4 linked regions of the Drosophila melanogaster genome follow. The gene in region 2 interacts genetically with the main gene of each other region. Each region holds a gene or a part of one and is shown on either strand. Other genes may lie near its edges.

Evidence for each region.
Region 1: of hep (region 2) and Sox21a, changing one suppresses a phenotype caused by changing the other (phenotypic suppression), as found in Drosophila melanogaster (2 studies listed by BioGRID).
Region 3: of hep (region 2) and Gadd45, changing one suppresses a phenotype caused by changing the other (phenotypic suppression), as found in Drosophila melanogaster (one study listed by BioGRID).
Region 4: of hep (region 2) and btl, changing one suppresses a phenotype caused by changing the other (phenotypic suppression), as found in Drosophila melanogaster (one study listed by BioGRID).

What each region holds. Positions count from the first base shown.
Region 1 is NT_037436.4:14,102,964-14,110,080, reverse strand, and holds Sox21a (Sox21a), read left to right. Parts: upstream 1-1,962; 5' UTR 1,963-2,273; intron 2,274-2,922; 5' UTR 2,923-3,006; coding exon 3,007-3,539; intron 3,540-5,193; coding exon 5,194-5,827; coding exon of another isoform or gene 5,828-5,884; 3' UTR 5,885-6,600; downstream 6,601-7,117.
Region 2 is NC_004354.4:13,087,433-13,092,413, reverse strand, and holds the start of hep (hemipterous), read left to right. Parts: upstream 1-1,979; 5' UTR 1,980-2,637; coding exon 2,638-3,055; intron 3,056-4,981. Other genes in the region: lic (licorne), read right to left, coding at 1-130, 193-325, 412-802, 873-931. UniProt on the Drosophila melanogaster protein: Required for the epithelial cell sheet movement called dorsal closure (DC), which allows establishment of the dorsal epidermis. Controls the expression in the dorsal epithelium edges of another dorsal closure gene, puckered (puc).
Region 3 is NT_033778.4:7,247,450-7,251,167, forward strand, and holds Gadd45 (growth arrest and DNA damage-inducible 45), read left to right. Parts: upstream 1-1,711; 5' UTR 1,712-1,971; coding exon 1,972-2,463; 3' UTR 2,464-3,206; downstream 3,207-3,718.
Region 4 is NT_037436.4:14,073,960-14,081,774, forward strand, and holds the start of btl (breathless), read left to right. Parts: upstream 1-1,854; intron 1,855-1,916; coding exon of another isoform or gene 1,917-1,986; 5' UTR 1,987-2,089; exon of another isoform or gene 2,090-2,164; intron 2,165-3,105; exon of another isoform or gene 3,106-3,168; intron 3,169-5,495; 5' UTR 5,496-5,652; coding exon 5,653-7,815. Other genes in the region: Pex1 (peroxin 1), read left to right, coding at 1-559, 618-814, 877-1,500, 1,751-1,854, 1,917-1,986. UniProt on the Drosophila melanogaster protein: May be required for patterning of muscle precursor cells: generation of mesodermal and endodermal layers, invaginations of various types of cells, and CNS formation.

The sequences.
Region 1 (7,117 bases), on a different chromosome or scaffold from region 2:
GAGGGGTGGCAGTGGGCGTTGGGGGTGATTTAAGTGGGGGGTTGAGGTTTGGGGCAGCTCACACACACACACACACACATTTCTAGAGCGCTGCCATTTTTATTGTTGTGCGATGGTGAAGGGGGGAACCCGCCAAATGCGTTTCCTACTTAGCATTTGTTTTGGTGAAGAAGGATATGGGAGAGGGGCGAAAAGAGGGGTAAGTCGGGGAGTAGAGGGCAGAAACTCTACAAAAGTTACGACCATTTGAAGAGCGACGCTTGCGCAAAACAACCCCTTAGGAAGATATCTTTTTATGGCGCCAACAGTTGTTTTTTAAAAATGCCAAGGAATGCAGAGCAAAAATCCTTAATTGCTTTATTCCTTAACCTTTTCAAGGAACGCAATAAAATTAAAAAAAAAATTTAAAATAAAAAGCACTGCGACGATTCATTTATCTTTAAAATGTTGTTTTTGTTACTTTCTAGGTCAAATTAATTTGAAGATTTAGTATATACTGTGGAAATGTTGCTAATAGTCCCAATAATCGTTAAATATTATTGCAAAAGCATATTTAATTAAAATTAATTGTGATCGGGAAATTATTGTTCCGGATGTACTATACCTAGCATATTACACACTTTTCTATTGACATTACACTGTAAACACCGGGAAAATTGTCTAATTTCTTAGTATTCGTCAAGGGAGAAGCTCCGTTGGCGGAACATTGAAACCGTCAATTATAAAGAGCGGCATTTATAAGAAATTTTAGCAAATGTATAAAGGTGGTACTATTAAGGGATCAAGGGCTTCTAATCGTTGCAATTATACAGAAATCGTTATTGGTACAGCAACAACAAGAATTGAGAATTTCCTGTGTGTGACAAACAAGGAGAGCAATTGAAATAAGCGGCCCAACCCTGCCAACAAAAAGGGCCAATCTTGCGGATACCGAAGCTTGCAGCAAACATACCAAATAAGCCACCGATCGATTGTGAGAGCAAACACCGGTCTAATACACAGTAAGAAATTATAGTGCCATAACCATATAGTGTAGACCATGCATATAAGTAAGTATCCAATATTTGGTTAATTGTAGTATAAGATTCAAAAGCTAAAGTGTATTTTTCATTCGATTGATTGTTGCCACTCCGTTTTGTATTCCATTTAAATAAACTAATCAAGGCATTTTTTTGACATCTTAAAAATGGGTTCTCATTCCATAGTTAAGAAGAGCTATAAAGTAGTTTAACTATGCCTTTTATTTGGATCACAAATGCATAGAAGAAAAACAGAACTGAATAATAAAGTGTTTTATAAACGTACCAATTTATGATTTAATATTTTGTAAATAAATATAGCAGCGAAATTCTCAGAACTAGCCGGAATTTTCTTGAATTTTTCAAAGAAAACTATTTATATTTACAATAAAAATTGATATTGGTAGCTTAATATGAAATATGTTATTGGGCTATTCAAATTTTCAAAATTATTTTTGTGTTACGGTTTTGATAAAAAATGCAGATATCATCAACTGGCGAAGAGCAAAAGGAGCAATGTTTGGTAAACAAGAATGCAAACGTGCACACAAAACGAAAACAAACCCGGAGACTATTGTCAATAAGATACAAAACGCAGATACAAAGATACAAAGCAGCAGCAGCGAATTTTTATCACTTAGCCGCCACGTTGACGCGTCCTCCGAAGGTGTAAAAAACTCTACAAAATGTGCGCGCTCTCTCTCTCTCTCTCTCTCTCTTACTTGCGCGACCCTTCTCCCTTGCACTATCTCTCGCCTTGTCTCGCTCCCACTCGGTCCTTTTGGGCGGCAGCGACGCAGCAGCGACCAACCACTACAGAGACACCCTCATACTTACAAACACCCACGTTCTTCCTCTTGCCCCTTTTTGTTGCGTTTGTTTGCCGTTTTTGTCGCAAGTTTTCGAATGTGTTTTCAAATCTAAATTGTCGCGCACTCGAAACGGACGCGCTGCGCTCGGCTAACGGTGAATCGGCAGTCTAACGGTTTAAATACTTTCAACGTTCGTAAATTCGAGGCTCTATAAATCTCGAACTGTTTGGAAAATAAGTTAAAAATTCATATCAGTGCACTTGTGTATTTTTAGGAGTTCTAATGGCGATCAACAATAATTAACCTAGTAATATTAATAAACAAAAAGAACTCGATCGCAACGTAAACTCTTGTGCAATTAATTAGATAGTTAAGTGTCACGCATCGGATGGAATCCAAATTTAAACTTTATTAGGGAGAAATTAAAAGACAATTAATACAGGTAAGCTAATTATGATGATGAGAAAAGGTCCCTAGGTAAACAATTCGAATATTTAAATATGAAATGAAGAAAAAGCTGTGCTCTAAATTAAACTATTGCACACTCCTCCCCAAAAACTAAACACTTTAAAAAAGCGAAATAAGCGAACAAATATATTTTCTTAAAAAAGAAACCAAAAGATTTATAAGGATATGAAATATATAATGAATTTTATGAATATTTGCAATTTTCAATGTTAGAAAAGCCTGTTTTAAAAAATATATCATTTTCCAATCCAATCTTTAATTAATTCATCATTTGAAATCGAATTTGGCAGTACTGTTAATATGCAAATATACGTTCTTCAAGGAATATATTTTGGATAATATTAATTTAAGGGAAATCCCCAATTTTGCAAATACTCAATACTGAAAACTGATTTGAATTACTGGTAAATATTTAAATTGGTTTGTCATAAAACCGGGACACCATTTTGAGCCCCCTGTACACACACATTAGAAGGGGTAAATGGAGTTCCATTGTGCATATTTTTGGTAAGCTATTCGCAGTGCGAAGAGCTCCAATCAAATGACTCATGCAGGGAGCAGCAGACAGAGTCCCCAAGCTAACAAGGCATATCTATTGAATACCATTTCCGTTGGCATTTCAGAGCTCGAGGAGCAGCTGCAGCACTACCACCTGATAATTACCACCTGCACCCCCATTGGAGTCCCTTGACTCCGCGCCCGGCATCATGACGAGCATCTCGGCCCTGCTCCATCGGAGCCACAGCCACAGCAATGGTTACACGAGCAGCGGGAGTAGCAATCACAGCCATAGCAGCAGTCTCTCACCGCAGTTGCCCGGCATCAATTTGGGTTTGGGCATGGTCGGTGGCTTGGGCATGGGTATGAGTGTGGGAGTAGGCTCTGGATCGGGAAACACCACCCCACCACCGATGCCGCCAGCTGACCTCGCCGTTCCGCCAGCGGCCCCCACTCCGGTGGCACCCAAAATGCACCAGCACACGCACCACCATGGCAACTCCCACCATAATGCCCCGACCAGCCACTCGAATTCGAATACTGGAAGCCATCACAACAGCCACGACCACATTAAGCGACCAATGAACGCTTTCATGGTCTGGTCGCGGGGGCAGCGTCGCAAAATGGCCCAGGACAATCCAAAAATGCACAATTCTGAAATATCAAAACGCCTGGGCGCCGAGTGGAAATTACTCACCGAAGGACAGAAGCGTCCATTCATCGACGAGGCAAAACGATTGCGGTAAGTATTGTTCACTGGGGTCTGGTTAAAAAGCACTGAGAAAATATGTATGTACTAAATTTGTAAACAGAAATAAGAGTATTTTCTTACCTGGAAAAGTCCTTACCTTTCAATTCAAAAGTTAATTTTCCAAGTCTATTATTAATAGGGTTTATTAGGGCGAAGTTATATTTAAAAAAAATAAAAAGATATGGATCCCATTGATGTTAAAAATCACAGATTATCATATTGCAGTAATCCTATATTAATTTAAACTAGGAAAAACATAGTTCTTGTATTTTTTGTAGTTACCTCCGCTTTCTATTCTTGGATATAAGAATTACTTTGTTTATTCAATTTTATTCAGTCCACACGATATACATTTTTTTTCTGTGCCGGCTTATGCAGGAGCAGAGTGGTGTAGGTTGGATGGGAAATTCTGGCTTGGTTTCGGTTACCATTTTCCCAGTTGGTAGCTCATTCTCACTAGATGCCGTCTGGCCACAAAATTTGATCGATTAGCTAAGACAAAGGCTACCTATTGTGAGGAGCTCCTGCTGAATTGCGGAGCTCTGGAGTCGGGGATTGTGTCCGCTCTGCTTAGTCAGAATTTCATTGGCACTGCCATATCTTGGGTAAACATTTCAATTGAAGTTGTCACACAAAAGCGAGGCAACACGTCGCATGAAATGCTCCATTCATTTTGCATTTTGCTTCTTTTTGTGTGCTTAACCCATTCAGTGTACCCTTTCGAAAGGGTTTGAGTAATTTCAGTTTGAGCTTAGTTTTAATAAACGTAATTATCGGGATTAACTGAAAATACCGCTAGAATGGAGTTCTTTGTACAAGAAATATACTCAAAAGCGAGCATTTTACAAATAAGTACAAAAGTGATATCTCACATTATTTTATTTTTTATAAAACTAGCTTTTAAATAAGTTGTATTGGTATAAATGGAATCAAAATTTGCAGTGCACTTTTAAACCACAGGAATTCCCAGAAATGCCGTATCTCACAAGTTCGTTTTTTCTATGCCTTCCTAGATAGTGCGGTCTTTTATGATGACGAACCTCTGTGTTTGCACTGTCATAATCCTTTTATTGATTGGATTGGCCTGCCAAAATGGAAATGTTAAATTTTACTTACATTTTATGACATTTATAAATGATCAGGGCTCGTCAGAAGGGGCTTAAACTAATGGCCATTCGGGGTTTTCGAGCGAGCATATCGAATGAAAAGAACCAAAAATTCTGATCAAATATTTGCCAATGCGCGATGATAAGGAAAACAATATTTTTTTTCGGGACCCGCGATAAGGAGGCCATAACTGACCAAAGAAAGGAAAACAAAATAAAGAAAAGCGAAAGTAAAACAAGAGGAGGCGACCCAAACACACCTTTTATCAGGTTTTATCGTTATGTCAAACAAATGTCAACAATTGCGCATTGTTGCAGCTGGGAAATCGGAAAGAGAATCGAAGTTGGAATCGGAGTGCTGGTTCTTCGCTAAATACACAATATAAACTTGTGCATTTTGTATCTGCCTGGCGTGGGGTTTATGGAAGGGTTCCGCTTCTCTTGGGGTTTACGACCAGAGATGGCTGACTTTATGATATCATCAAAGCTTAAATCGTTCGATCTTTTGATCAGTGTTTCAACATTTATTTAATTTACAGGGCTCTGCACATGAAAGAACATCCCGACTACAAGTATCGACCACGTCGCAAGCCCAAGACGCTCAACAAGTCACCGGTGCCAGGTGGTGGTGGTGGCGGCGGTGGAGGTGGTGCCAACGGTGGTGTCAACGCTGGTGGTGCGGGTAACTCCGGTCCCAGTGGCCCAGGATCAGTTGGCTCCCCCAAGGATATGCAGCCCCAGTTGTCGCCCTTGGGTCAGTCGCTGCCACATCTCCACGGACATCCGCACCAGTCACCATATCAATCGCATCCACACCACCCGCATCCTCATCCACATCATGTCCAGCTGGCCGCCGCCACCTTGAGCGCCAAGTACGGTTTTGGTTCGCCACTGGAGTTATCGCTGCCCCGCCTGCCGAATGCCTTTCCCGGCCTCGCCCACTATCCACTGGATCCCACGTTGGCCCTGGACCTACAGGCGCGCCTCCAGGCGATGTACGCCGGCTCCATCTACCACCCGTGGCGATATCTGCCGCTGATAAGTCCGGAAACTCCACCCTCCCCGCCCAGCAGCAGCGGTACCGGCATCTCATCCTACGGATGCGTCAAGTCAGAGAAGTCCTCACCAAATGCGGTAGTGGCCAGCGCGGCCAGTCCGCCAAACATCATTTGACCGACTCCATTGCGCTTCGGCGCCGGCACCTCCTCATCCGCGGAACACGTGGTCTAGGATGAGCACCACAGAGGGAATTTGGATGGTAAACTTTACCATTCCTCTCCAAAAGTTAAAAGTCCTAATGTTAGAGCCTAGTGTTAGACGAATATTAATGCACGTCTTTAGTTGCTACTATAATTATGTTTTTGGTTCTGATTTAGTGCTGCTTCACTATTTTAGATGATTAATTTTAAAACTACATTCAAAATCTCAATTTACTGACATTTTTTGACAAATAATGAAGTTAAGTCCGGCCTCGAAAAGCAATAGACATTTTAAATCAAAGAAATTTTAAAAAATCTTAGCTAAGAAATAACACTTAGTAGTCTCTTATAATTTATATATATATATTTTATATATATTTTTTGACATTTTATTAAAATTCACAACATCATTTGAATTCGTACATATTACTTAAACTGCACTTAATATTTTTATTGATATGTTGTTATATGAATAACTCAATTCTTTCGATAAATCTTTGAATTAATCAGCTTTGAATCAGCTTAAAACACATTTTAAATGGTTTTATTCATACCTAATTTAAGGATTTCACAATCTTTGTTATCAATTTCTGGAACCCAAACAAATGGCTTATTAGATCTAAAGTACATTAGATTTGTTAAGGCATCGAGAACATGTCCACTTTTATGTAATATATGATTGTAAAACTATACTTTAATGTGATAAATGAAAGAGCAGAAATCGAATTAAAAATAGTGTGAAATTCCACGATTTTTAAACAGTGTACTTGAATAAAGCATGGCATTGGGATTTATGGCAAAATTGTAACAATAGTTTTAGGATTGAAGAACCCTATAGAGACCTGGTTTGCATGTGAGTGAAAATCATAGCTTGCAATCTGTAAGGAGTCACCGCCAAACGCCACAGGCTTCTGTGAATATAACGACAATGTTTGCTGATGCGTTGATTATTAGTTTAAATTGCCGACACGCCGCGGGGATGAATGGATGACGATGGCCAGGATTGTCTGCCGTTTCGGAAGGGTGGCGATCGTCCTTAATGGGATTCCTTCACGCCCACTTGTTTAAGCGGCCAACTGTGAAGCGCTCACCGTCGAGGCGTGTCAATAACTCTCGGCCCAAAAACAATTGGCACTTTTTTGTCTGAGGCACTGCACAAAACAAAGCAGCAACCACCACTATTATTGGACTTTTCTCTGGGTGGGTTGGGTGGAATATAGACAGCTTGGCGGTACAGGGCAATCGCGACAGCATCGTAACCAGC
Region 2 (4,981 bases):
ATGCCCAGCGACCAAACATCCGACCTGATGTCGTATTGCGCCGGATTTCCTTGGGGATCGATCCGTTCCGGCGCCATGTACGGCTTGCAACCGGCATCAATGGTTTTGGCAATGGAGTCGACGAGGTAGCCTAAAAGTCAGTCCAATATTAGAATGATTACAGTGGCAAGAAGTCACAGAATGCCAGCCCACCTGAGATGCCAAAGTCACAGATCTTGACCTGGCCGGCCCGATTGATCAGTATGTTCGAGGGCTTGACGTCCCGATGAATGACTTTCAGTTGAGCGTGCAGATAGTGCAGCGCACTGACCACGCTCATGGCAATCTGTAAAGCAAAGGCAGTAGTACGGTAATAGTATAGTGGCGATTGCCCGATAAGATTAGACCCGCCCCCAATCCTCCCCAGCTGACCTTGCCCAGCACGCTTTCCTCCATTCGCAGATCGTGAAGGAAGACCTTCGGATAGAACTTGTCCAGGCTGGTGCTCATCACCTCCATGCAAATCCAGACATCGCCCTCGCGATACATCGCACCATAAAAGTGGACGGTGTAGGGGCAGTCGCTGGATCTCATCGATATGTCCAAATCCATTACAAGGCGGTGCTGTTCTCGAATATTTACGGTCATGGGTATGCGTTTGACGGCCAGGACCGTATCGGTTTGCTTATGGCGCATCTTATCCACGATGCCATAGGCGCCACGGCCCAGATCGCAGATCTTCTCGAGACTATCTGCATCGATGTCAAAGGTCCGGTCGCCAATTTGGATGGTGGCCCGCGAGTCCAGGTTGCGTGGCGGGACTCTAAAAGGATTGCCGAATGTAGTTCAATTCACAATTCGTTTCTGGCCAGGATTTGACCATTTTGACTTACATGGCGGCCTCTGGCTCCTTGGCAATGGTAAAGGGCGTGAGGCGGTGGCGTTTGGACATTTTGGTAGGCCCTTCTATATCCTATATCCTATATGCTATATGCTATATATACCCTCTCCTCTCCACGACTTTCCTTGGTGTTTTCTGGCGGATTCTGCAAGACTTGGCGGTTCGGTGCGAATCGGATGCGATGCGGTGCGGCTATTTTTACCGCATTTGGTCAGGTCAGGATTCGGATGCGGGTCGGTGATATGGGGATCGGATCGGTGTGGATCGTGTGGCCCGGGTTTTGCCGCCCAACCTTTCGCTATTGCCTTTGCTTTCCTTTCCGCACTTTTTGCACTGTTCACCGATCGCTTTTCGCTTCTCTTCTCGTTTTTCTCTCTTTTCCACTAGCGCTGGCCAGCCGCAGTTGGTCCTATCGATATATCCCAACGAGTGCAGCTATAGTATCGTCATACAAATAAATCGAAGTGCCTCGATAATAAATTTGCTTCCACCTGCAACGAATTTAGATAATTAAGTTAGGTATCGATTATATCTATATCTCTTTGTAAGCCTTCTAGAAAGTTGTTCCGTATATTCTTCATACCTATTTTTTAATGTTTGTTTATTTTCTTTAATTTTTTATTTATACATTTATAGACATTTATTTTAAGGGAAAACTTAATAAGTTCTAGCCAAGTGATGCCCATCTTAAGTTGCATTTCGGTATATTTATGATTCTTTTTAGCACTTTGGTCACTCCGTTTTCGATACGTAATGTTGCAAGTTTGACTGAACATATAGAATTCGATGTTTTAGAATTGTACTAAAATAATTTATTATTTTATTAATTAATAAATAGGTAGACCTTATATTATTATTTTAAGTACAAGAACAACGAAGTCTCTCGAATCGACCAATTTGAATTTGAAAAATCTATTATAGTTATATTATATTTGTATGAAATATCCTCTGAAAATTATTCTATCTCGGTAAAATAAAATCCTACATAGTTTTAGATGCCGTTCCTAGTTCGAAAACTGTTTCTGAGGTGCCGATGTTTTGCAAACCATCGATAGGCACGAAAAAAGATATTAAGAATTATCGGCGAAGAACCATCGATGGCTGATGCATCGATGTTTTTTTACATCACTATTGTACACGCGATTTAGGCAGCAAAAACGTACAAAAGCGAGTGATCAAATTGTGCCAGTGATACCGCCGCCCGCGGTCGCGAAACGAATCGATTGCAGAAGTGCGACAAACAGCGCCGCGAAAGGAAAACAACCGATGAAATATTCTCCCAAAAAAGGAGGAAAAAATCGCAAGTTGTTGTTGCCGTTGCTGCTGAAAAAGAAAGAGAGAGAGGGCGCTGCGTGTATGCCTGTGTGTGTGCGTGTGTGGGGGTGAGGATGTCTCTCTCTAATGCACAGTGACTGTGTTTTCCTTTTTTCGATTTTGTTTTTGTGCCCCCCCTTGGCAAACAACAAAAGTCCAAGCAATCCTTTATTTTTGCAAGTGTAAAGTTTACAGTGTATGTGTGCCGCCGAACAACAACAACATCAGCGACAAAACAAACAGGGCGCACAGCAAAACAATTCACACACACACGCACCCTCCCCCGCCTGCGCGCGCTTGTGTGTGTGTGAGAGAGAGGGAGTGAGTGAGAGGAAAATCGAAGAAGTGCTGGCCAAAAAACGGCGAAAAAAATTTAATAAATACCAAAATCCAACGATACTAGCAACTAACTATAAAAAATCGAACCAAATCGACTCGATATAATGTCCACCATTGAGTTCGAAACGATCGGCAGTCGGCTGCAATCCTTGGAGGCAAAGCTCCAGGCGCAGAATGAGTCCCACGACCAGATCGTCCTCTCCGGTGCGCGCGGCCCTGTCGTTTCCGGTTCCGTTCCATCTGCCCGCGTCCCGCCCCTGGCGACATCCGCATCCGCAGCCACATCCGCCACCCACGCACCTTCCTTGGGCGCAGGTTCCGTTTCCGGATCGGGTATCAGCATAGCCCAGCGTCCAGCACCTCCAGTTCCTCATGCGACGCCCTTCGGCAGCGCCAGCGCCTCGTCATCATCCTCATCCGCATCCGCATTTGCATCCGCAGCACCGGCGACGGGCACCTTCGGTGGAACATACACCCCGCCGACAACTAGAGTGTCGCGAGCCACGCCCACACTGCCCATGCGTAAGTCCTCTTTTCGTTAACTTCCTACTAAATCTTTAATATATAAAATTAATTGGGATCAACTAGAAAAACACTGTAGTTACCTGAATCTTTGAAAATCGTTGAAGAAAAATATAACAAAATATAATGTCACAACTAAACTCCATGTACCAGGGAATACTCTAAACCGCTATCTAAAAATGATAGCTTATCAAACTGCGTACTGTAACTCAAAATTTTCCAACGAGACTTTCCCGATTCGAATATTCGATAATTCTCTACTTTCGAAAGTAAATCGTTGTCGAAAAACAGTTTTGGCCGCCAAAAACGTGGTAAAACTTTCCAAGTAAATTTCCAAACGCACAAACAACATTTTTGATATTAATTCGCAGAAAGATCAATGTTTTATCGATCGAACATTAGACAGGTGAAATCTTTATTGATCCTCTGTGACAGGTGTGGATTTAAGCCAACATTTCTCTGACCGCAACTGTAGACAGTTTGTTAAGTGGTAATAAAAGTGGGCTGAGAAAAATCGTGATCCCCAAAAATGGTCACCAAAAATCTATATATACCGTACCGCCAACCGCAAGCCACAAAACCATCTTTTGTCCGCATTTGTGTAAATATTTTGTTAATAAATTGTCATTGCCCAATAAGCTGTGTATGTGCGCGTGTGTGTGTGTACATACATGTATGTGTGCTTAAATTGTGATAAGAGAAGTGCTCTTTTCTTGGCTTTTCCCATTGCTATTGCCATTGGGTTTACTTTGGAGCATTTGGATGCCGCCAACAAAGGGCAAACGCTATCGATTCCCCGACTGCATAACAGCTGCTCATAATCCCCCATTCCAGCACCTCAGCAGCGCCCCGTCAACCCCGTAGCTCTGCCGCTTTTCCCCCCCTCCGATTTCCCGTTCTGTTTTTCCGATTGCATAGATAAGACAGGCCAAGTGCGAACACCAAAAGCGTACCCAACTTGTTTTCGGCCTTTTGTTGGGCCAAACAAAAATAAAAAGAAGTCAAATCTACAGTGGTATTAACAGCTGTGAACCGCGTCAATTTATTTTCGCCTCGATTAGATTAACAATTCCTGGTACCATAACTGTTTGATACATGAACCCCAGAAAATGCCTAATGGGTTTTTGAATAATCAAATACATTTCGATTCGATTAGATTAGTAGTGGTTAATAGTTTCCGCGAATTTCAGGGGTACTTAAAATCACACCCAAATTTTAACAGTGTAATCAGCTATTGAATAGATTTTCAAGTTCGTGGTACATAATGAGCGAGCAAAAGTTAAATGAATAAATAGCTAACAAAATATAACGGTCTATATGTTAATTTATCAGAACAAAATTGGTTTATTAAAGACAAAAGTTGTCGTTATTCGATTATTTATGAGGCTTAAATTGATAGAAATTTTAAATTTTTCATGTAAGAGATGACGTTATTGTGCCCACGGTTGTGAGACCACCCACCGCCTTTTTTCGTTTCTTTTCCCCTTCCTTTTGTTATACATTTAAGTTTTTGCATATTTGTCTTGTATATTTTTCTTATTGGATTTTCATCTGCCATCAAGTGTTGTTATTTATTTACTTACATACTTTTTATTTACTTTTTGCATGTGTGCGTCTCTCTACTCGCGTTTGGTGCTCTCTTCCTCTCTCGCTCTCCGCCATTGGTTACTTTTTGGCATTTCCGGAGTAATGTCTTGATATGCCCGTTACTGTTGTTGTCATTTTTTTTGGGCCTCACATATTCCCACCTCCGCCGCACCCTGCCCACATTCGTTCATCGGACATTGTGCCGTGTCTCCTCTTTCGCATGTTTACAAATAGCGTTATTTTTTATGACGTGCTGTTGTTGTAGTGGCTAATTGTTGAATTGAATTGCTGCCAGGGAAAAAAAAACTTCGCAAACAAAAACAAAATCGCTCTCATTCG
Region 3 (3,718 bases), on a different chromosome or scaffold from region 2:
TTATTAAGCATAACAAATATAAAATATGCTTTTTATAATGATATTTTCATAATTACAAGTATTGGGCGAACAGATGACCAATGATGTCTGTCCGGTTTTAGCTAGAAAACCCCCAAAATGCCACTGCATTTCCGCGGTTCATTGGCCACTTTCGAGGCGAATTTGGCGCGCAAATTCGTAGCTGAGTCGGCGATTTCCAACTTTCAGCACTTCCGCGGCTGATCCACTTACTACAGGTATGCCCCTCATAAGCACGACAGTTGTTTATGTTTTCGGGTCTAAATACATGCATAGGTCAGTAATTCGAATCACCCTACTCTTAATCATAGTAGTATGTTATTGAAAGACCAGAAGCTTCTTCAAATTGCATGCACATATATATGTACATATTTACATACATATGTTATTGTTATGATCATGGGCTGACTATCAGCTTGGTTGGGTTGAGTTAAACATATCACCTGCCCAGATGCACAGATGAAAACAAGTGATCTTAACCTAAATATAACCCTTCTTATTTTGCCTTCTTTAGGGTTGTATACTTTTCATAGCTTTTTACTTTTTTTGTCGTAAATCTTGCTGAATTACATGCTGCAGCTGCCCAGGAATTGTTTTCAATTCTACGCTGCACGCTCAGCAGTTTGTTCAACTCCAAAAAACCAAAACACATGTATGTATGTATGTACATACATATGTAGGCATCGATTTTCAGGTGCTATTTATAGCCTTAACAAAACCTGCGAACCTATGCTGATTCGGCGATTAAAGTAATAATTAATTACTAAAGTGCACGGCCAGCGGTAGTTGAACCCCTTAGGAGAAGCGAGCTGGAAATTCCGCCGGATGGCGTAGTTCTCGGGTTCAATTGATAAAACTCAGTGGCGATCTCGACTGGCGATTCCGACACGTTCCCACGTGCCGAATGTGCAGCGCGGAGGGGGGGAATTTAAAATTGGAATGCCGCGATAAATTGATTAGCAACTCCCTTTGTGTTTGGACATGCGATTCTGTTTGTCCGGCCGTCTGGCCAAATGCAAAAAGAATAAGATCGTGCGAAGCCTGGCCAGAAATAAAATTCGGGTTAACTTGGGTAAGTAAGGTCATTCGTTAATCATACGCCTAGTATACGCGAGTTGCGCATACGTCGCGTTGGTCGCCGAGATGCGACACACTTGGACCTGTTGCTCGCCATCAGCCATCAGGTATTAGTGGTCCATTCACGGGGTTCTGGCGAAATGTATGTACTAAATTTAAGAAAACCGTTCAAGTGAAATTTATTTACGAATTTTTGTTCGAATTTTGATGAGCAAATTGCGATTTACTCAAAGCATGTTCGCACACGATTTTTTCGCGCGAAAGATAATGAAAGCGAAGCTCTTACTTAAGGGAGACACTTTCCCTGCCTTTGCGAGTGGGAGAGCCGAGTTTCCGGGGGAGCCAAGTTTCCTGACCCCATTTGGAGCGTCCAAAACTGCAGATTGCAGTTTGGGTGTGATGGAAAGAAACCCCCAATCTGCTAATTGCCGCGACATCAACGGAAATCTTTCGGATCCCAAAAAAAGTAATGAAAAAACCCGATTTGGCTGAAAGAGCGCAAGAGCGGGAGAGCGAGCCCCCCTAAAAAGCTCTCGCTCTCGCATTTCTGATGAAATTCAGTGGAATTCTCAGGCGGCGGAGAGCGCGGCTATAAAAGCGTTCGCTCGCCAACCGAAAGCATTCATTGTGAAATTGCCACTCAAAATTGAAACAGCGCGGACAAACGGTTGAAGAAACACAAAGCCCAGTGCGAAAAGAATTTCATAAGCAAAAGTTAATCGGGTGCTAAACAAAAACACTCGAAAGCAAAGCAAAGCATAGCAAAAGCAACAACAAACAGTGCCAGCTGAAAGTGCCCAAAAAGTGGAAGCCAACGGCTCGAAAATAACACAAAACCCAAAGCAAACGCACAACCAAACGGATAACACCCACAATATGGTCGTCGAGGAGAACTGCAGCATGCACCACCTGGAGCGCGAACTGGACCTGGAGCTAGAGATCGATATGGCCATGGAGTGTGCCCCCATCGGACGCACCATCAAGTCGGCCCTTCTAAGGGCCCAGAGCGAGGCGCGTGTGATCGTGGGCCTGTCCGCCGCCATCAACGTGCTCTCCAAGTCGCCGGAGGGATCCCTCTTCTGCCTGATGGCCCAGCCCAAGGACGGCGACTCTGCCACCCACATGCACGAGGTACTGCTGGAGGCCTTTTGCTACGAGAACGACATCTACGTGATCAAGGTGGACGACGCCACCAAGCTGAGCCGCATCCTCGGCCAGGACTCCGTCGAGTCGTGCTGCCTGGTCCAGAAGGTCTGGGCCGACGCCCCCGAGGAGCAGCTGACCAAGGCCGAGAACCAGCTAGTCGACTACTGCGAGGCCCACTGGGACGCCCCCCAGCAGCCCATTGTCCAGCTGCCGGCTGTGTAGGCGCGTGTGAGCGGGACAGCCAGATGTCACAGAATTGAATGGCCCCGCACAGTGGGCGCAAGCAAACTCTAATGGAAACCAGTTGCTGGGGGTTGATGGCCCCGAACGTCTTGGAGAGTTCCCGAGGGAATCCGACGTTTCGTGGCGCTGCCAGAAGCCCACCGGCACATGTACACCTACATAGGATATATAGAATACGACATATGTATATACCCTAACCTGCTGTATTCAGGAAGCAGGAGAGGGAGGAGGGGAGCAGAGATGGATAAGCCGGCGCCTTGGCGGATAATTGAAACTGAAAGGCGACCTTCGAGGCGGCAGTAACTGCAGCTGAGATACCCGCGGAAGTCGCGCACAGATACTCACGCACACAGCCAAGGAGCAGCATCACACACAAGCGCGTGACCAGCTGCCGAACCAACAAAACATATGTGCACATATGTACACAGAACCATACATAAATATAGCCAATTTGTTTCTGTATAATTTTCGCTTTAAGCGTCGCGCAAATTTACTGATAATGACAATTATTCTGTACGCCGTAAATTGTAAATTATACTTAAAAGGAGAGCAGCCAATTGCATGTATACCATTAAAGTTTTGTTATGTTAGCTTTTCCAAAAAAAAAACATCAGATGAAAGCACACAAAAAAATGTTATCTAACTTAAGCACAAAAAGAAAATTGAAAAAGGTTTGAAAAAAACTGATAAAAAATGAAAAATAAAAATCTTGTATAAAAACCAAACTTTCTTCGTCTTGTTTTTTGCCCATCCCTTTCAGCACTCTCTTCCAGCAATCCAAACTGACGTCAATGGGTACAAATCCCTTGGATTTGGATCGGGAGGCCGCCCGACTCATCAATCTTTGCATAACTGCCGGGGTTTCCCCATCGAGCGTGCCTTGCATATAGGGCCCCATCGGACGCCTTATCAATGAATTCTCGGAACCCAGTGGAATGGAAAACACGCGTGAGCGCCGAAATCGGGGCCATCCATCTGGGGGAGACTGGGAGAAGCCCTCGGCTCGAAGTATGCAGTTTTATCAACTTAGATAATGGGTGCGAGAATAGTCAGTTTGCCTAGTTAATTGTTCCCATCACTGATCAGTGGGAAAGTCAATTAGAAGTATGGGTCATGCTTATAGGGGGAAAAAAGTAAAGCACCGTGGAGCACTTGAGTTAATCAGAGTCAATGGGCGTTATAAAAATCGTACTGGGATATTTACGATCCAATGAACGAGACAATTTCATACGAG
Region 4 (7,815 bases), on a different chromosome or scaffold from region 2:
AAAACAGTTCTTGTGGAGCGCATTTTGGACCAGCTGTCACGCAAGCCGGATTATTGTCACTTCGAGTTCTTCCACGGATCGCGAAGCAAAGGCCGCAAGACGGAGTCCATCCAAAAAGATCTTCGCAACATTTTTACCAGCTGCCTGCAGCATGCCCCCGCCATTGTTGTGCTAGAAAACTTGGATGTACTGGCCCACGCTGCTGGAGAGCAGTCCAGTCAGGATGGAGAGTACTACAATCGCATGGCGGATACTGTGTATCAGTTGATTGTTCAGTATACCACCAACAACGCTATTGCAGTAATCGCCACCGTCAACGAGTTGCAGACCCTCAATAAGCGATTGAGCTCACCAAGGGGAAGACATGTCTTCCAGACTGTTGCTCGTCTGCCCAATTTGGAACGAGCAGATCGAGAGATAATTCTTCGAGAGCTGTGCAGCCATATCAATGTGGCCAAGGACCTGGATCTTGTTAAGTTCTCCAACCTCACGGAGGGCTACCGGAAATGTGATCTTGTTCAGTTCGTGGAGCGTGCAATATTTTATGCTTATCGCATAAGTGAGTAGTTTGTAGTGTTAGTAAGCAACTTTATCATGTTAAATTCCCTTTTTTCCAGGCAAGACCCAGCCTCTTCTGACCAATGATCAGCTTATTGAGTCCCTGGAGCACACAAACTCGTACTGCCTGCAGGGCATTCAGAGCAATCAAAGAACTGGCAATGATGCCGATGCCAATGAAATGCGCGTCGAGGAGTTGCCTGGCCTGGAGTCAGTTGTGGGAGTTCTGGAGGAGGTCCTTATGTGGCCATCAAGGGTGAGTTTTAAACGAAATATATGTTTTTTTCTAAAATTTAATAAATCATTAATTTCTTACAGTATCCAACCATTTTTAACGCCTCTCCACTGCGCAACCAGGCCGGAGTACTTCTATATGGGCCACCAGGAACAGGTAAAACCTATCTGGTCTCTCAGTTGGCCACATCGTGGAACCTGCGCATCATTTCCGTCAAGGGTCCTGAGTTGCTCGCCAAATATATTGGTCAAAGCGAGGAAAATGTTCGAAACCTGTTCAATCGAGCTCGCAGTGCCCGACCATGTGTGCTTTTCTTCGACGAGTTTGACAGCTTGGCGCCGAAACGTGGTCACGATTCCACGGGGGTCACCGATCGAGTGGTAAATCAGTTGCTCACAGAACTGGATGGCGTTGAAGGACTGCAGGGAGTTACCGTGATAGCAGCTACCTCCAGACCGGAACTGCTAGATCCCGCGCTTCTTCGATCCGGTCGCATTGATCGCTTGGTGGAGTGTCCTTTGCCGGATGCTCCGGCCAGAGTACGTATATTTGAAGCACTCAGTTCAACACTGAGCCTTGATGAGTGCGTGGACTTCGATTGGTTTGCGGGAAAAACTGCAAACTACACTGGCGCCGATATCCAGAGCATCCTGACCTCGGCGAACATGGCGGCGGTTAAGGAGGCGCTAGCTCAATTCGGACACGAGGTGAGCTGGGAATTATTTTCACCGGAAACAATCTGCTTTATGGGTCATGCAAGCTTTCAACCGTTTCTTTCATGTTTTATTGTTTCTCATCCTGATTTCAAATGTAACTTCTATGTAAAAACTCCTTTACGTGTTTGTCTTTTAAATCAAAAGTGAAATCTATGCTACTTCCTGCAACAATGATTAGTCACGTAGTTCTTAGTCTCTGGCCACAGTATAAAATACCATTTGTTTCTTATTGCTTTCCCAGAAACTGGCAAAGAAAATTTCCTTGAAGCAGAAGCACCTGATTGAGTCGTTCCAAACCACTCGTCCTTCGCTCAGCGCCTCCGATGTGGCCAAATATCACAGAACGTACGTAACAATGTCTTCTTTGTTCTTCTGTTCTTCTTACCTTTTTAATTATCTCTTGGTAGGTATGCTCGCTTTACCAACAAGGAGAAGACTTCTAGGGAGTTTGTAGCCAAGCGTGCGACCTTGGCTTAAAGACAAAGACTTATAAGCTTAGCATTATTATTATTTTAAATTGTTTTTTGCATATTTGTACATCTGGAAAATGGAACATTTTGTTGGAAGACGCAAGTCTTAGGTAGTACATATTTCATAATTTTTCTTGTTGAAAAATAAAAACCAAATTTCTTTTATGATTACTTCGTATAAATCCATATACCACTCCGGAGTGTTAAATTGAAAGAATATTATATTTTAATTATAATGTACATACATGTATAAAAAAGAGAAAGAGATGTTCAAATTTAAGAACTAATATCTTTTCGCATTCTGACCTCGGTAAACATGAGTGCTGTTAAGGGGTGGCTCCTTAACAAATGAAGACATCAGGTGAGTTTGGTTATTAATTCACCGGAAATTGTGTTTAGCTATAACAAGTTTTTGATAGCTAGTTTGGATAGTATGTCCCTCCTTTTCGTATTTCCCAACTGTTTCGCATTTGTTCCCATAGCCCCTAACAAGTGCATCAAAAATGCATTTAACTATTTTTGGGTAGATTACGTGCCCGGCATCTGGATCTGGATTTTGGCCTATGCGGGAGCTAGCTGCTGCCATGCCACATGCAGCAACTGAGATTTTTGGATATCAGTCACGTAACGGATATTTCCTTATTGATATGCGATTACCGCGCATGCGCACGTACTGCACACCACTAAGACAATGGACACATTTTCTTTTGCATAAATTAAGCCGCCAAGCAAACAAACAGGGAGGGAACCCGAAGGCCAGATAATAAAGAATTTCAACGAGTCGAAGCCACCGCAAACATGCTTAGAATAAAACCAACAAGAACCTAGCAGAAGCAGCAGCAGCAAACCAGCAATAAAAAGAAAGGAAACCGCTCAGGAAAACTACCAGCGAAAACAATTGCAACATGCGGGAGGGAGACCACCTCGATCAGGTAGCCGTCCGAACCCATACCATCCCATCCGAAGACCCTGTGCCCAGGATCCTAGCAAACATTATCGCAGGGAACCACAGATATCCACTCGTTTCGTATCGTATTGGATCGTATTGGATCGGTTCGGTTCGATCGGCACGTTCGGATCGTTCGTATCGTACCGCGTAAAAGTTTCTTCCGTTTCGATCGTTACTTTCAGTTGTTTGCGCACATTCAAGCCAATCGGTTGGCTCCTTCCACAAACTTTACGGATTACGGTTAGTGCAACGGAAGTGAACCCCCCCCCCCCCCCCCCGCCCAACACCAGCTACCCATCACATATTTCTTTTCATTTATGCCTGGTAAAGGGAAATAAAAGTTGGCAACGAAGCGGAAATGCAAGGCGCCTTCCGCTGCCCTCTTGCCGAGTCTTAAGATTTTTATACAAGCCCCAACCGCGATTGACAGCCGAATAAACATAGTGACAATGTTTTTTGCAATCTTATTTGCCTTCTCCGGCTCCTCGAAAATAAAAGACAAAGAACGTGATTTTTTTGGTCAAAGATTTGGGGTTGTGGCATGGCAGAAAAGAATTGTGTTCCCACTGCGAACTGACAAGCAGCAGTGAAACCAAAATAAAGCAAAAAATAATTTAAGAGTGAATTGTTCCAGCAGTAAAATAAATACAAATCTTTCCAAGTGCAGCCAAAAGATCATAAACCACAGATAAATAAAAACAAAAAGTCTGCAAAGTAACCAAATGTTAAAAATAAAATTTTAATTGAGACAAAGAAACGTGATAAAACTGATTCATACATAATTAAATAAACACCAATGAAATAAATAAGAAAATAAAATTAAAGTGATGTCAATTGTATGAATGAATAATTTATGTCTTGATCCAAACATTCCTTTTACATTAAGTCAATGTTTGCAGAAAGAAAACTGAATGGGGAGTTAATACCCAGGGTTCCAAATAAAGAACTTATTCTATTCTCGATATAGCTGATTGACCAAGTTGAAATATCAAATCGTTCATGCATTAGATTTATACGCTCGATAATAATTCACAAGATAAAAAGGTGTGAGCTAAACGGTTTTGGCCATGTGCGCTTGTGGCTTAAAATCGAATCGAATAATATTGAATGAATGACAAACTGAGAAAAAAATTAAATAAAAATAGCAATAATACATACTTCAAATACAGCGATCGACTCGTATTTGGCAACAAATGAGAAAAAAAGGAATTGAATAAATTAAAACCTGCGACGCGTGTGCATACATACATAAATCGGGCCTGAAGTCAAACGGCTAGCGGCTAGCGGCAATATCGGCTAAAACAACAACAACAATTACTGGCAGCACTAGCACCATATTAACAACAACAATGACAATCGCAACGGTTGTCCCAAGCCTTACAAACAATAAAATACTTTTCATTAAACAGCACAGTGGTCAAAACGATTTTATAAAAGTTAAAAATATTTTAATTTTCTGATAGAAAAAATAGTCGAACTATGCTATGCCCCCATTATTATCAATATTTTCTAAACTTCGTTTAAAACTTTACATTTTGTACAAAGCTTACATTCGCAGACAACAAGTTTGGGAATTTACCCTATCATCATTAATCATTGAACTAAAAATTGTTTATTTTTATTTGGCAAACATTTGACGAACCCAAGTAGATGGAATACCCACTGTCCTATACCCTTTACGTGATTATACTAAAAATTAATTTTGAAATAATTATCTGCTATTAGGATTTTCGAGCAGTGTTATTCAGTGTTTAAAGCATAACTTTATTATAAATATACCTTTTAATTGATTAAAATGCTGAGCTCATATTGCACAGAGAATTTGAATGTTAATTAGTTGCTATTTCAGATTGTGGCAAATCATTTAGGTATTTCTCGATTTGTTGTTGCAATTCTCTAGCACCTTGTCTGTTTGTTTTGTAAGTGCAAGTATAGTACTTGGGGAATAACTGAAAAGTGTGACACCACTGTAACAACTGATTTCAACAAATAGCTAAGTGATTTTCTAACTGTTCGGCATTTAGTTGAATGGAAATCGAGGAGCGCAGGCCGCAGCAACAAAAGCATTTGGCGAACGTCGAATATAGACAAGTTATAATGGAGATCCCCTTCGGTAGTGGGTGGCGACGAGTGTGTCCGGCAATTCGGTGGCTTCGACCACGTCTTCCAGCTCATTACGAAGGCAGGGCACACAGTTTTCGTTTGTTTCAGTTGCTTCTCCTTTGGATTTTTGCATATCGGTGCGGACAGACTTGACTTGGCTGTGTGCCGTGTTGGCAATAAAATATTAAACAATAATAATAAATAAATAAAATGACACAGATCGGGAACTAAGGGAGGGGCAAAAAGTGAAGCGGAGATTTGGCAATATTTATTGATCCACTTATACAGCTGCGGTCAAAAGAATAGTGGCACAATAGTGGTATTCAAGTAACGAATAGCTAATAATATTTGCATTCATAACTTCTTAAATTTAGTTAAATTAAACAAAATTCCAAAGTGTTATTTTTAAAGTATAATATATCAATCAATGCCATGTAATTCATATATTTAATCCTTTCCTTTAGCTGGAGAACGCTCGATTTGAAATCGAGGAACTCGAATGAAGATACCCACAGGAAGTGATATTATTTCGACCGCAACTGTAACCCATATGTACACGATCGTGCCCATCCAGATACGAGATCTTGGTGGCTGTTGAACTCAAGAGAATCCACTTGAATCATGGCAAAAGTGCCGATCACGCTGGTGATGATCATTGCGATCGTCTCTGCCGCTGCGGACCTGGGATGCGATTATGGCCATCATCGTTGCTACATCGATGTGACTGTGGAAAACAGTCCCCGCCAGCGCCATCTGCTCTCCGACATGGACATCACGCTGCAGTGCGTCCGACCCATGGCCAAATGGTTCTATGAGGATAAGTTTCAACTGAGGGCTACCCTTTTGCGACTTGAACGAGCACAGTCCGGAAATTCTGGAAACTACGGCTGCCTGGATAGTCAGAACAGATGGTACAATATTTCCCTTGTTGTTGGCCATAAGGAACCAGTTGGCAATGATATCGCCAGCTTTGTCAAGTTGGAAGATGCACCGGCCCTCCCGGAGTCAGATCTCTTTTTTCAGCCCCTGAATGAGAGTCGATCCCTGAAGTTGCTGCAACCCCTACCCAAAACCGTACAACGGACCGCAGGTGGCCTTTTTCAGTTGAACTGCAGTCCCATGGATCCGGATGCAAAGGGTGTTAATATATCCTGGCTGCACAATGATACTCAAATCCTTGGTGGACGTGGACGCATTAAGCTTAAAAGGTGGTCATTAACAGTGGGGCAACTGCAGCCGGAGGATGCTGGAAGCTATCACTGTGAGCTGTGCGTGGAACAGGACTGCCAAAGGAGTAATCCGACCCAATTGGAGGTGATAAGCAGAAAGCACACGGTGCCCATGCTAAAGCCCGGATATCCCCGCAATACCAGCATTGCCCTCGGGGACAATGTGAGCATTGAATGCCTACTTGAGGACTCTGCCCTGGAGCCGAAGATCACGTGGCTACATAAGGGGAATGCGGACAACATCGATGACCTCTTGCAGCGTTTAAGAGAGCAGTCCCAGCTACCTGTGGATGTTACCCGATTGATTACCCGAATGGATGAACCGCAGGTACTTCGTCTTGGAAATGTCCTGATGGAGGATGGCGGATGGTACATATGCATAGCCGAGAACCAGGTTGGACGCACTGTGGCCGCCTCCTATGTGGATCTTTACAGTCCCTCAGATACTACCACAGTTCGCACGACCACTACTACCACCGTGGCCAGCCCAATACCCACTGCATCCACCGGAGAGGACAACGATGACGACGTGGAAAATCCAGCAGCGGAAGCATCAGGCGGCGTTGGTCCACCTGTGTTCAGAAAAGAGCTGAAACGATTACAGCACTCATTATCGGGAAATACTGTCAATCTAGCCTGTCCAGTGTACGGCAAAGCGAACATCACCTGGACGAAGGACAAGAAGCCGCTAAACCGTGAACTCGGCGTCTATGTGCAAAAGAACTGGACACTCCGCTTCGTGGAGGCCACCAGCGAGGATTCTGGACTATACAACTGTAAGGTGTGCAATGCGTGGGGCTGCATCCAGTTTGACTTCAGTGTCCAAATAAACGATCGCACGAGATCCGCACCAATAATCGTGGTGCCGCAAAATCAGACGGTGAAAGTCAATGGCAGCTTGGTGATGAAGTGCACCGTCTACTCTGATCTGCATCCAACAGTCAGCTGGAAAAGGGTTGTCCTCAAGAATGCCTCCTTGGACGGCCTTAAGTCTGTGGAAATCCAGAATCTCAACTTCACCGTGACGAATGACTCCGTAGTTTTAACGCTTCGTAATGTGACCTTTGACCAGGAGGGCTGGTACACCTGTTTGGCCTCAAGTGGTCTGGGAAGGAGTAACTCCAGTGTGTACCTTAGGGTAGTGAGTCCTCTGCCACCTTTGGAGATCTACGCCCTGCTGCACGCCCATCCTCTCGGATTCACCTTGGCCGCTATTACGATAGTGGCTTTGTTCCTTTTGGGCAGTGCTTTCATAACGTTCATGCTGCGTCGGCTGAGGAGGGAGAAGCTCCTGAAGCTCCGCATCGAAACGGTTCATCAGTGGACTAAAAAGGTGATCATATACCGACCGGGTGGAGAAGAAGGAAGTGGCTGCAGCTCCGGCGATCTTCAGATGCCAGTGATAAGGATCGAGAAGCAGAGAACAACCGTTTCCACAACGGGAACTGGCGGTACTGATCCCGCCCAGGGCTTTAATGAGTATGAGTTCCCGCTGGACTCAAACTGGGAGATTCCCAGGCAGCAGCTTAGCTTGGGCTCCATTTTGGGTGAGGGC